3 linked regions of the Rattus norvegicus genome follow. The protein of the gene in region 2 interacts with the protein of the main gene of each other region in a pairwise test. Links are inferred from orthologs where the notes say so. Each region holds a gene or a part of one and is shown on either strand. Other genes may lie near its edges.

Region 1 (4,446 bases), on a different chromosome or scaffold from region 2:
AAGTACAGTTCTGAATTAGTAACTCGGGAACACCAAAAATCATGTTTGGGATATGGTATATGAAAAGGGGCAAGAACAGAAGCCACCGTTATTTAACATAATAAGAGTTTCAAGTCTCCAGGGTAAGTAAGAAAGCAAGCTAGACTTCCTTCAACTAGCCCTCTTCTCTAGTATTAAGTTGCAAGTTTGAAAAATATTGACTTAAATAAGAGCAGTCATATCAACATTTGGAATCACTTTCCTGGAATGTCTAAAATAACAGCATTTAGAACAGTGCCCAAGTTCTTGAAACTACTAGCGTGCCACTGAAGACTTCAAGGACACCAGCAGGGGAGAACCGGAAGTACCTGAAACAGAACACCAAGAAGGACATACTCTGCATAAACTTCCAGGTCTTCAGGTTTAGCCTAAAAAGGTTCAACCACACATTTACTACGTCATTAAAAATGGCGTAGTAAATATGTGTACATTTTAGCAAATTCAAACTTTAGCAACTTTCCCTCATTTTTCAAGAAGCTAATCTTCTACATTAATATTCAAATTAACTGAAATGCCAATTTAATATTTAGCAAATTCTAAAAATATCAATTAGCATGTGATTTTAGGTTCCAAGATGTGATCAAACTGTGTCAGCTGGCTAAAAGACTAACAACAATCCTAATTATTTTACTAATTGAGATCCGAGAGAAGTGAAGAATATTAACCACTCTACAGATACAGCACTGACACAACAGATTGGAAGATGATCATTACAGTTTCTTAACAAGTTCCCTTTAAGAAAAGGAAGGTGTCAAAGCTCCCTGCTGTTTTAGTGTTCAAGATTTTAATTGCATAGGGATATATTGTAACTCTCAAACCTAACACTAACTCCACTGAAATTTATTGCTAGTTACAGCTATTTTGAAATGGCCTCATTAGTAGATCGGACACCATTTCAATGTTCAAAGAGCATTTCATTAAAGACAAAAATGTCTGCCCCAAGGAATTCATTCTTCACTTTGTTCCCTTGTTTTTCAGTAATGTCTAAAGAAGTGGGTTCTCAACCCTCCTGATGAGCCCACCCTTTAACACAGTACTTCATGTTGTGGTGACCCCCCCAACCATAATTTTGCTACTGTTATAAATAGTAATGTAAATATGATAGTCCTTCCCTAGAAGTCCTGACCCACAGATCTCTAAGCCTTCCTCTAACAGTACCTTTTTACACACACACACACACACACACACACACATGTATGTATGTATGTATGTATGTATGTATGTGTATATATGTTAGGGGGAGGGGCAGTTTACGTATGATGTTAAATAAACTTCTTGAAATTCCTATGAAAACTGACTGCAATTCTTAAAACAGCATTAGGCTACATTAGATCAAAAATTTAATAGCAAGAGTAGGTAACTGAGATTCACCATGGATTTGGATATGAATATTTAAATGTGACATTAAGGAAAAAAAACCACATGGTACAGTCAGTTTCAGATGAATGTTACCAAATACAGAACTCTATAGTTCCCATCTTTTTAAAATGAGTTACTGAGAAAAAACCTAAAGCTGATCAAAGGCTTTAAGGATATTACTAAGGGCTTGCACACACAGGCACACATACACTGCATGCCACACACAAAGGAAACAGACACTTCAAGTCCATCAAAGCCTACCCAAAAACTGTGCCGGTGGCACACAAAGATTTCCAAATGCAGAGGGGAAAATAATCCCTAGGTACACATTTAGTGTACAAAAGCAATCAAAGGTACAACTCGGCAGACACTTTCAGAAAATGGTTCAAGACTTCAAGTCTGAAGTCCACTGGAATCTTGATTTATTCGTTACTCTCGAGGCTAGGCTGTTTTCTCCCAACATACTTCGTTGGGATAATTTACAAATTAACTAGTCAGTCTCAATTCGAAGTACACCTTCCTTTTCATTAAAAGTTCAAGATTTCTTAAGGACTAGACGCATAGTGAGATCACTTTACAGTACTCGGGAAGAACATTTGCTTTGTTGTTGACCCTGCTAGGGAAACAGGTCTTGACTCAGCCAAAGTGGCGTTCTTGTGGGTGATTAATGACAGGCCTACAACTCGCCCCAGTGACATCCATCCCCCTCCAAACCCCACCCCTTCTATACTAAAACCAGCCAAGTCTAAAATGGAGGAGGGGCTGCCTTCTCGCCTCAAACCACTCAGTCACTGAGTTAATAGCTGCAACCAATCGATTCAGCCCAAGAGACCGGGAGATTCGGGTGAAATGTGACCCTTCTCTCGCCCGACTTATGAATAATATCACCCTCTCTGATCATTTCCGCTGAGTCCCTACATAAGGAAACGATTCCAGTGATCCTACCCCAAATGATCTCCCTCACAATAAAGTACCCCACAATGCCGACCAACCCGACCCGTACCCACCCAACCTGCCGACACCACCCCCACCTTGGTTCAGGCCCTCCCTTTGTGTCCGCACCCAAGCGCCCAGCCACAGCCCACCCAGGCAGCCCCGGGGCCGAGGCCCACCTGTGGTGAGACGGGAGGAGACGTCGCCGAAGGGGGAAGGCTCCATCCGGAGATACTTCTGCGGCGAAGCGGCCGCGGCAGAGGCAGCGGCGGCGGCGGTAGCGGCGGCAGGGGAGGCGGCAGCCGAAGCCGGTGCCGACAAAGGCGCGCACCGCCTCCGCTTCGGAGATGCCGGGCTAAGCAGTGGGTCGAAATCCAGAGTCCTTTTCAGAGTGGCTCCGCACGCCATGGCGGCGGGCAGCCGAGGCCCGGCTCGGGCGGGGCCGGGAAGGACCGGGGCAAACGGGCCCTCCGAGGTGCCCGGTAGGTGTGGGGCCCGGGACAGAGGAGCCGCGACAGGGCAGGCGGGCGAGGCGCGAGGGTCGCGCCGCCCGCTCGGGGCCGCTCCCGAGAGGCCGGGCCGCCCCCGCCGTGCGCTCGGGCTGAGCGCGCTGAGGCTCTTGCGCGGAGACCGGCTCCCTTCGGAAGTGGACCCGGTCAGTGGCACGACCGAAACGCGACCTCCAACACGCCGGTGTAGACAGAAGCTCGTGAGCGGCGGCAACTTGCGGGAGCGGAGTGGTAGCTCCGCCGCACAGAGCTAGGCAATGCACTCGACCCTCTCTTCACGGACCAACTCTGCCACCCGCCGCCGGCCCCAATATGGCGTCAATAACAACGCCGCCGATTCAAATCCTGCGGCCACAGGGCGCCTGCGCACAGGGGGCGGGCCTGTCAGAGTGCATTCTGGGATTTGTGGGGTTTCGCTGAGGGCAGGAGTGGGCCTGAAAGGCGGTTACCCAGAAGTCACGGAAACTACGACTCCCGTCATCCAAGGCGCGCGATCCCAAGTTCCGGGTTGGAATTTAAATACCCCCTCATAAGTAAAAGAGTTTAAAAAAAAAAAAAAATGTAAGGAAGAGAAAGGAGAGCCTCTGAGACAGTGGGGATGAGGAAGCGAACCCGTAGGAAAGCAAGCTAAGTAATTTAGAGACCCTGTTCAGCATAGTGACTTAAAACAGGATATAACAAAGAGCCAATCTAATAGTTGGAGAGAGATTAATTTAGCTGTCAAGAGCGCCAAAAACCAAATCTGTCACATGGAGGGGATAGGAAATAATGAAAACACCAATTTGGGACCTCAGACAGAACAACCGTAATAATATCAGATTACAGGATCTTTGAAGTCTGCTTTGTGCTTCCCAGATAGATACTTGTCTATGCTTATTAAATTCTGCACAGCTGAAAATGAGTAACATTTGAACAAAGCACAAAGTCAATAATTTTACTATGAGCAAAGAGTAATCAACACCAGAAATTTGTTGAGTTTGGAAGACTGGGTGGGGTCTAGAAAAAGGCAAACAAACGCCTAGGAATTAGGACCTGTTTTTATAAGCAAAGTAGGAAGAAATGTTTCTAAAATTTATTAATCAAATATCTAAAATAAGGATCGATTGCAGCATTGATGAAGTAATTTATGTAGACACTTTATATCTTCTGCTTGTGGATGCTAGCTCTCCACTGACATTTCATGACTATCATATGACTATAAATATTAATATGTCTAATGCTCACCTTTTTCTGTTTACTCAGAAGTGAACATATGTAGCTACTTTATAGCTGTTTTGAACAATAACTCACTATATATCTGTTGGTTTAGAATTGTTCAACATCACAAAGATCAGCCTTCTGATCACATGTGAAAGCTGCTATGCCCAGCTTATTTTAATTTAGGATATAGTTTTTAGAAAGTAACTTTTGAGAAAGACCAGCATTCTATGAAACAATCACTTAACTAAGACATGTACTAAGGAAGTGTTTACTAAGTTCTAAACAGTCTGGGAAATCTGTTATTATGCTGAAACTGACTGAATGTTCATATTTTATGTAAAAGAGAAGAATAAGAAAGGTTCTTGACTTTTTTTTTTTTCCTTCCGAGATAAGGTCGGATGTCAAA
Region 2 (3,646 bases):
GGAATCAACGCCCTCATCTGGCCCCATGGCCAGATGGTGCACTTACATACACACAGGCAAAACCATCCATATAAAGTAAAACAATCTTTTTAAAAAAAGACTAAAGGCAGAAGTTCAGACTCTTTCTGGGAGGAGGTGTTCTGGAAGCTGAGCACACGTGGCTTTGGACATCTTTCAGATGCTCTGAGGCATGCATACAAAATAATTTTTGAAAATATTTTAAAGATAAGTATATGTATATTTTGTGTGTATATGCATGCATATATGTGTGTATGTGGAAGCTAGGGGTCAACCTCAGATATCTCTCGATGGCCTGGAACTCACAAAGCAGGCTAGACTGGCAGGTCAGCCAACCAGGAGCCTGCCTGTGTGCGCCTCTCCAAGGGTGGTATTACAGGGACGCGCCCCATGCCTGGTGTTTATTGTTTGTTCGTTTGTTTTAATGCAGGTTCTGGGGCTGGAGAAATGGTTCAGCTATTAAAGGCTGGACTCAAATCCAAAATGTCAGAATGTTAAGTAAACCAGAACCCTGTGTATTATTGGGGGAAATGTAAAATGATACAGCCATTGGAAGACACTGTGTCAATTCCTCAGAAAGTTTAAAGTAGAATTACAGGTGTGCCACTATGGGTGTGGGTAGCCGAGGAGACCAGAGGAGGACACTGGGTTTTCTGGAGCTAGAATTATGGACAGTTGTGGGGAGCCATGTAGGTGCTGGGAACAGAACCTGCATCCTCTACAGAGCAGGAACTGCTCAACAAATGAGCTATCTCTGCAGTCCAAATCCCAATATCTAAAAAGCGAAGACTCTGATGCTTTTACACCATGTTAACTGACACATCCGCAACAGCCAAACATCTGGGTTGGAAACAGCCTAGATGTCAAGGAGATGTACAATGTATGTAATAGTATCATTCAGCCTTAAGATAATGATATTCAGACACATTGTGGGGCCAGTGAATCTTTGTTTTCATTTAGAGGTGTTTTGCCTGCATGTATGTCTGTGTACCACCTGCATGCAGGCCAGAAAAGGACAGCGGAACTTCTGAACCATAGTTAAAAATGATTGTGGGGGCTGGGGATTTAGCTCAGTGGTAGAGCGCTTACCTAGGAAGTGCAAGGCCCTGGGTTCGGTCCCCAGCTCCGAAAAAAAGAACCAAAAAAAAAAAAAAAAAAGATTGTGAAGCCGGGCAGTGGGGGTGCACACCTTTAATCCCAGCACTTGGGAGGCAGAGGCAGGTGGATCTCTGAGTTTGAGGCCAGTCTATAGATCCAGTTCCAAGACAGCCAGGGCTACACAGAGAAACCCTGTCTTGAGGAGATACACACACACACACACACACACACACACACACACACACACACAGAGTTGTGATCTGCCATGCCATGTGGGCAACTGGACTAGAACCCAGGGTCTGTAGAAGAACAATCTCTTTTATAACCAGCGAGCCACCTTTGCAGAATGAATCTTAAACAAAACCAACAATTTATTTTTAATTATGTGTGTTTCTTTGTGTGGGTATGTGCATGTGAAATCACTAGACCTTTAGAGCACCTGTTGGTGAAAAAACAAAATGCTCCAACCCAAGGGCTGGAGGTGTCTGGCTGAGTGGCAGAGTGCCTGTCTAGCACAAGAGAAGTATGGGTTCTGCTCCCAGCACCCTAAACACCTCCCCCCATGCTTACTTAATTTGACTTTATTTACATGTTGGTATTTGGCCTGTGTGAATATCAGCATGCCACCTATATGCTGATACCTGAGGAGGCCAGGAAGGATGAGATCCTGTGGAAGTGGAGTTACCGATGATTATGAACCACCACAGAGGTGCTGGGGAACAAACCCGGGTTCTATGCAAGAACAGCCAGTGCTCTTAACCACCGAATCATCAACTCTCCAGACTCTATTCTTTAACTTTTGGTGGGGGAGAGCTGAGGTAGTCTATACCCCTGGCTAGCCTAGAACTTGCTATGTAACCAGGTTGTCTCCAACTTCAGCATCTTCCTGCCTCTCTGCCTCTGCAGTGCTGGGATCACGGCATTCACCAGCACCTAGGACAAGAGTGTCTGTCACTCTTGTCAGCAAAAACCCAGGATGAGCAGTAGGTTACTGTGAAACTGAAAAGGCCAAGGTGTATTTGAAGAAGCGTGGTTAATGTCCAAATAATTATATCTTGGCTATATATTTATAATGGCAAGTACCTGTATTATTTCAAGAGAAACTTACATCCATGATGGTGACAGGGATATCCCGAATTTTATGAGGTTCCACATAGGAATTTTGACAATTGAGAGTTAGTCTTGAAGCCAGTTCACTTTGACCCAAACTCTCCAGCTGCAGGAAGAGACAGAGATGCAGGTAAGAGTTTGCAGGAATTTTATTTCCGTGCATACAGAGGGATGTGATGTTGGGGATGTGTGATGGAAAACCCACCAATGAGAAAACACAATGTATCTGAGAGACTGCGATCGGGGACTCTTGGGCAGTGGCCTTTACTATTGTGGCACCTAAGTCAGGCCCTATAAATGCCATGGGGTCTTCTCACTGCCTGTTCAATGCAGGTACACCCTAACTTATGTGCCACGAAGGTGACAAGTCAGCATGTAGGACCTCAGGTACCTTCTGCCCGGGGTTCTGAAATGCCAGAGTGCAGACTTGTTTGTCACATTGACCTGAATGGTTCAGGAGGGAGGGCAGGTAAACACTGATCCTGGCTGGGCATGGTGGCACACGCCTGCAGCCCAACACTCTGGAAGTGAAGCCTGAGGCCACCACATACCTCCTCTCTCAAGAGACAAAACCTCTCCCCGCCCAAAAGGAGCCAGATTCTCAGATGCCCATCAATTCTAGATGCACTGTCTAGCGTGAGGCCATGGAAGCTTTTGTTCTTGGAGACAGTTTTGCTGTATATCTAGGTTGGCCTCAAGGGGGAGACCCTGCTGCTTCAGCCTCCCAAGTACTGAGACTATGGGTATACGTACCATAGACAGGCAAAAAAATTAACTTTTAAATAAAATTTAATTTTATGTTTAAAATGCAGGTGTCTGTGAGGCCCGCTGAGGGTGATGGATCCCCTGAAGCTAGAATTTCAGGTGGTTGTGAGTTGCCTGACATGGGTTCTGAGAAGTCAATTTGAGTCTTCTGCAAGGGCAGTTCAGACCTTTAACCATCTCTCCAGCCGATAAGCTGGTGCCCTCAGTGACCAGAATATTGATTTCCCACAGCGGGTGTTACCACCAAAGGTGGTGCTGAGAACCAAACTCACATCTTCTAGAACAAAAACAGTGCTCTCAACTACTGAGTCATCTCTCTAGTCTCTTAGATTAATTAACTAGTTGTTTTTTTTTTTGTTTTTTGTTTTTTGTTTTTTGTTTTTTTTTTTTTTTTCCGGGGCTGGGGACAGAACTCAGGACCTTGTGCCTCCTAGGCAAGCGCTCTACCACTGAGCCAAATCCCCAACCCCTGTTTTTGTTTTTTAAGATGGGTTTCTCTGTGTAGCCCTGGCTGTCCTGGAACTCACTCTGTAGACCAGATTGGCTTTGAGCTCACAGAGATCTGCCTACCTCTGCCTCCCAAGTGCCAGGTTCCTGGGTTTAGGCCCCAGCAAGCATCACTCTGCTTTCTAAGTTGCTGTTGGGTTTGAATGTG
Region 3 (4,326 bases), on a different chromosome or scaffold from region 2:
GTGCAAATAGTATTCTATCAACATTCCTGCCATTAGGGAAATTAAGATTAAAATTAGATATACTACATGTCTATTAAGATGGCTAAAGTCCAAAATATTGACAACACCAAATGCTCAGCATAACATAAATTCATTGTTGTTGCCAATGCAAAACAGGCCACCAAACACAGGCTTCTCAAAGTACTAAGAAAATCGAGACAGGAGGATCGTGAGTTCAAGGTTATCCTTGGCCAAATATGAGTTCCAACTGAGGCCAGACTAGATACATGAGACCCTGTCTCATGACAGGGGGTTACTTTCTTATCAAGTTAAATATATATAAGCCATATGGCCAGTTTGTGGATTTGTATGAAAGTCAAGTGTGCCCACTACACAAAAGAAATGACAATTTTGATACTTTATTTTAGCAGGGTCTCTCTATAGCCCTGGCTGTCCTCAAACTCATTATGTAGACCAGGCTGGACTCAAACTCACAAAGATCCACTTGCCTCTGTCTCTGCCTCTGGGTGCAGGGATTAAAGGTGTGTAAAAATGAATGTTCAAGTTTACTAGGAAGTCAGGGAAATGCATATTAAAACCACAAAGGGGTTAAGAGTGTTTGCTGCTCTCCAGGGGATGAGTTTGGTTCCCAGAATCCTCAACAATTCACAATTCCCTTGTAACTCCAGCTCCAAGGTGTCTGATGCCCTCTTCTGCCTTCTACATACACATGAACACATGCGGCAAGCACACAGGTAAGTAAGTTTAAAAAATTCAAAATAAATCTTTAAGATTGCAAATTGCAGTGCAACCACTGACCAAAATATGTAAAATTTAAAAGACTAAACACTATAGGCATTTGGAAATAAAAACACATAAGTAAAAAAATGCTGATGGCAATGAGAATTATGACTTTTCAGGGTTCACTAATGCTTTCAGTATCAGTGCCATCCAATCAAGCAATCACACCAAAAGAAGTGAACAAGAGAATCATAGCAAGAATATTTGTAAAAGCTCCAAAGAGCTATCAAGAATAAAATAAATAGATAAAATAAACAGAAGGATATATGCACACACACACACACATATATGTATGATATATTCATACAATGACATATTATCCACATGGACAAATCTAACAAATACAATGCTGAACCAAAAAAGTCACAGAACAAAAAGCACAGGATATTTCCCCATATAAAAGGTTCCAAAGAAGCCAAATCTAACAATAGTGACAAAAGGGAAAATAGTGGTTCCATTTGGAGAATGGTGTATGGGTTAACAGGGTGTGGGAAGGGGCATAGAGTTCCACATAAAACACAAGCTGCTCAGTTAAATTTGAATCTGAAGCAACAAGTAATATTTTAGTAATAATAGGTCCCAGGTAATATTCAGAACATTTATTTTTAACTACTACAAATTGCACGTATAATCAAGAGGGCTGCTTTTAGAGTAGTGGTAGTACTCTATTTCTTGATGTTCCTTTTGTGATCATCTACTGCGCATTTTTCTGCATGTGTTATTCTTCCCAATAAAATAAGTTTTATAAAAAGCAAAGAACACTCAGTACTATGCTGCTGATTTTAAAATATCTCATCCAAACACTCTTTTTCTCTACCCACCCTTAATCACTGCGTGTGAGAGCTGAGATACTTCTGCAGGCAGTGGGCATCAGTAATCAGAAGCGTAGCTGAGCCAAAAGCTGTAGACTCTGCTTACATTTTTTATTAAAATTACTTTTGCACAGCATGCTTCTTTATTTCTGGAATCTTTTTTCATGCCCTCTTTTTTGGAGCCTTTCTTATTTGGCTGATTTAATCTTTCCAAAGAACAATGCTACACTTCAGAGGCCAGCCTCTAACTTACATCAGCCAAGAAACAAAATGTGCAAGCCACTGTTCAAAGTTTAACAGACTAGCTGATGTGAGGGGTTAAAAATCAACCTCAAATAGAACATCTACAACAATACTGGCCCTTTAGGGCCATCAACTCAGATACAGACACTGTTCAGAATCTGTCAATTCAGTGCACTGAGTGTTTTGCAAACTTTGAGCTGAAGTTTACAAACACCTTGAGTGACTGACTCCACATGAAGTCCTTTTCATCGATTTATATTAACTTCTCCTAAAGACATTAGCAAACCCATGCAAAAGACAGTAACCCCTAGAAAACAAAAGCTTGACTAGTTTTCCTCCTGTTAGGTATGTGGCTACTTATTGCAGAATTCTTTGTTGTTCTAGGGATTGTGATCTCTTGGTTTTGTGCTTAGGTGCCCATTTCCATTGTGTGGCACTAAACTTTATAGGCCAATAGAAGGCTTCCCTATCTGCCATGCTTCTTTCCGGGTTTCTTCTATTTAGTAGCAAAGTTTATTCTTTTACACACAGTGTACTAAAGATAATAATTAGACTCATGGATTATAAAGACCAGCTGCCTGAAAGAAAACTAGCATCACCTCGAAGACCTCAGTTTCCTCAAGATGTAAACGGGAACAAAAAGATATAATCCAAACAGCTATGGAGAATACCCAGAGCGATTAAAGCACGGCACCGCACATACATTAAACACTTAGTGCTTCTTTTTATCATCACTGTCACCAACTACTTTGGATGGCCCAACTTCCTATACTTAGATGTCATGTAGGAAAAGCATTCAGATGCACTTCGAAGGAAAGGGGTGAGGGAACATGAAGTTTTAGGTGTACTCAGCACACAGGAATAAATGGCAGGAACTACCTAGCAGGTAGGACCTAAGGAGATGAACACTCCCAGATTCTGTCTGACTCCCAGGATCTGACCAAGACCTTGGGCTTCCTGCCTACTCACATTGCGGTTAAAGCTGTTGCCAGGCAGAAGCGGTAGAGCCATGGCTGTCACAGTCCGAAGAGGATCAAGGGTCCGACCAGAGAGAGAAGATAGTTAATGCCCTCAACCGCCGCTTGTTTGACCCCCCGCGTTACCTGGAGACCGGAGGTAGCGTCATGGAGGGAGGAGGGGCTAAGATAGGCGGGGAAAGGGTAGGGGTCTTAGGGCGGAGCCAAGGCCTGGGAGGGGGTAAGGGGTAGACAGAGTGGAGGTGGGGGCGGGGCCAAGCCCACAGGGCTCCTCCCTTCCCCTCCGCACAGCATTATGATCTTCCTTTCCTGTCCGCCCACCAGCGGGAAGCAGCTTTGTTCTGACCCCACTGGTTTTCCGCGCTCGCACTTACAGTGAGTGCTCAGTTTTCACTTATGCTGTTTTCTGCTTTCACTCGTTTTTTTAAGAGCTCATATCCTCCTGTGACCTTCAGCTCACGAAATCTTGACACAGCATTGTTTTGCCATTTTGTTATTAAGTGTAGTTAAAATGCCCTGAAACGTACAGAAATCTGACGCTTGTGAGTTTACAGAGCTGTGTTGCATTTTCACCAGCCTGTTTTTTTTTTTTTTAATTCAAACGTTTGAGATGAATCTAAAACCACTCACCCCCTACAGGGAAACCCATTCCAAGGGTAAACATGGACTTCAATCCTTCTTCTGATCATTTCATATATGGCCTAAGTGTGGAAAATCTAAGGTCCATCAGCAGTGTCCAGGAGTAGGATTGGCCGCATAAAAACTCTAACCAAGCACCGTGCCTCGTGCCTGTAATCCTAGCACCCTGGAGGCACAAGTAAGAGGAATGCCTCCTTTCCAAGCCAACCTGGGCATCACTGTGAGGTTATGTCAAAAAACCAAAACAAACAAATAAAATACCAAGACTGCTCCACTAGCCACGCAGACATCTAGAAAGAAAGCCTACAGTTAACTGCCCCACAGCCCTGCTGGTTGGACACCTTAGTATATTTATCAATCCCTCTGCTATTTTTGTTGAGACCCCTACCCCCAATTATGGCTTGCCCTACTCTCTTCCTTAGAAGTGGAGGCAGCGACAACAGATCATGCTTACAGAGTGAAATTCAAACTGCAGTTGTTACTCTCTACTTCAAGAAGCTGCCTTCCCCTCCCCTGCAGGCCATCAAACTCCTTAGCCAGGCATGGAGCCCTTGCCAAAGGAACACTTTTCATCTCTAGTGGCTACTGCTTTGACCCTCCCCTCCTCTGTTCCAGCTTCAAGAAACCTCTACCTGTTTCCACCAGGCAAGACTGGGGTTTTGAAAATCACTCTGTCTTCTAGAAACATGCCTGCCTTTCCATGCTTCAACAAGGTAACCTCTTCTTATTCCAGGAATTGGTTTAGTGTGAAAGGGAGGTACAGAAGGCTTTGTAATTACTGGGAAATGAATGTTCCCTCAGCTCCCTGGTACCCCTCCTCTGTCTGCATTAAGCACAATACACACTACTTGTGCCTTCCTCCTCCTACATTGTAG

What was found.
Region 1: the proteins of Spg21 (region 2) and Akirin2 interact in binary tests that used the Homo sapiens proteins (3 or more experiments, as listed by UniProt). The two-hybrid records come from large-scale screens. The link is inferred for Rattus norvegicus from reciprocal best matches to the Homo sapiens genes SPG21 and AKIRIN2.
Region 3: the proteins of Spg21 (region 2) and Efhc2 interact in binary tests that used the Homo sapiens proteins (3 or more experiments, as listed by UniProt). The two-hybrid records come from large-scale screens. The link is inferred for Rattus norvegicus from reciprocal best matches to the Homo sapiens genes SPG21 and EFHC2.

Annotation. Positions count from the first base shown.
Region 1 is NC_086023.1:53,903,026-53,907,471, reverse strand, and holds the start of Akirin2 (akirin-2), read right to left. Parts: upstream 2,938-4,446; 5' UTR 2,740-2,937; coding exon 2,511-2,739; intron 1-2,510. UniProt on the Homo sapiens protein: Molecular adapter that acts as a bridge between a variety of multiprotein complexes, and which is involved in embryonic development, immunity, myogenesis and brain development.
Region 2 is NC_086026.1:74,896,518-74,900,163, reverse strand, and holds part of Spg21 (maspardin), read right to left. Parts: intron 2,333-3,646; coding exon 2,225-2,332; intron 1-2,224. UniProt on the Homo sapiens protein: May play a role as a negative regulatory factor in CD4-dependent T-cell activation.
Region 3 is NC_086039.1:7,942,337-7,946,662, reverse strand, and holds the start of Efhc2 (EF-hand domain-containing family member C2), read right to left. Parts: upstream 2,938-4,326; 5' UTR 2,847-2,937; coding exon 2,805-2,846; exon of another isoform or gene 2,746-2,804; intron 1-2,745. UniProt on the Homo sapiens protein: Microtubule inner protein (MIP) part of the dynein-decorated doublet microtubules (DMTs) in cilia axoneme, which is required for motile cilia beating.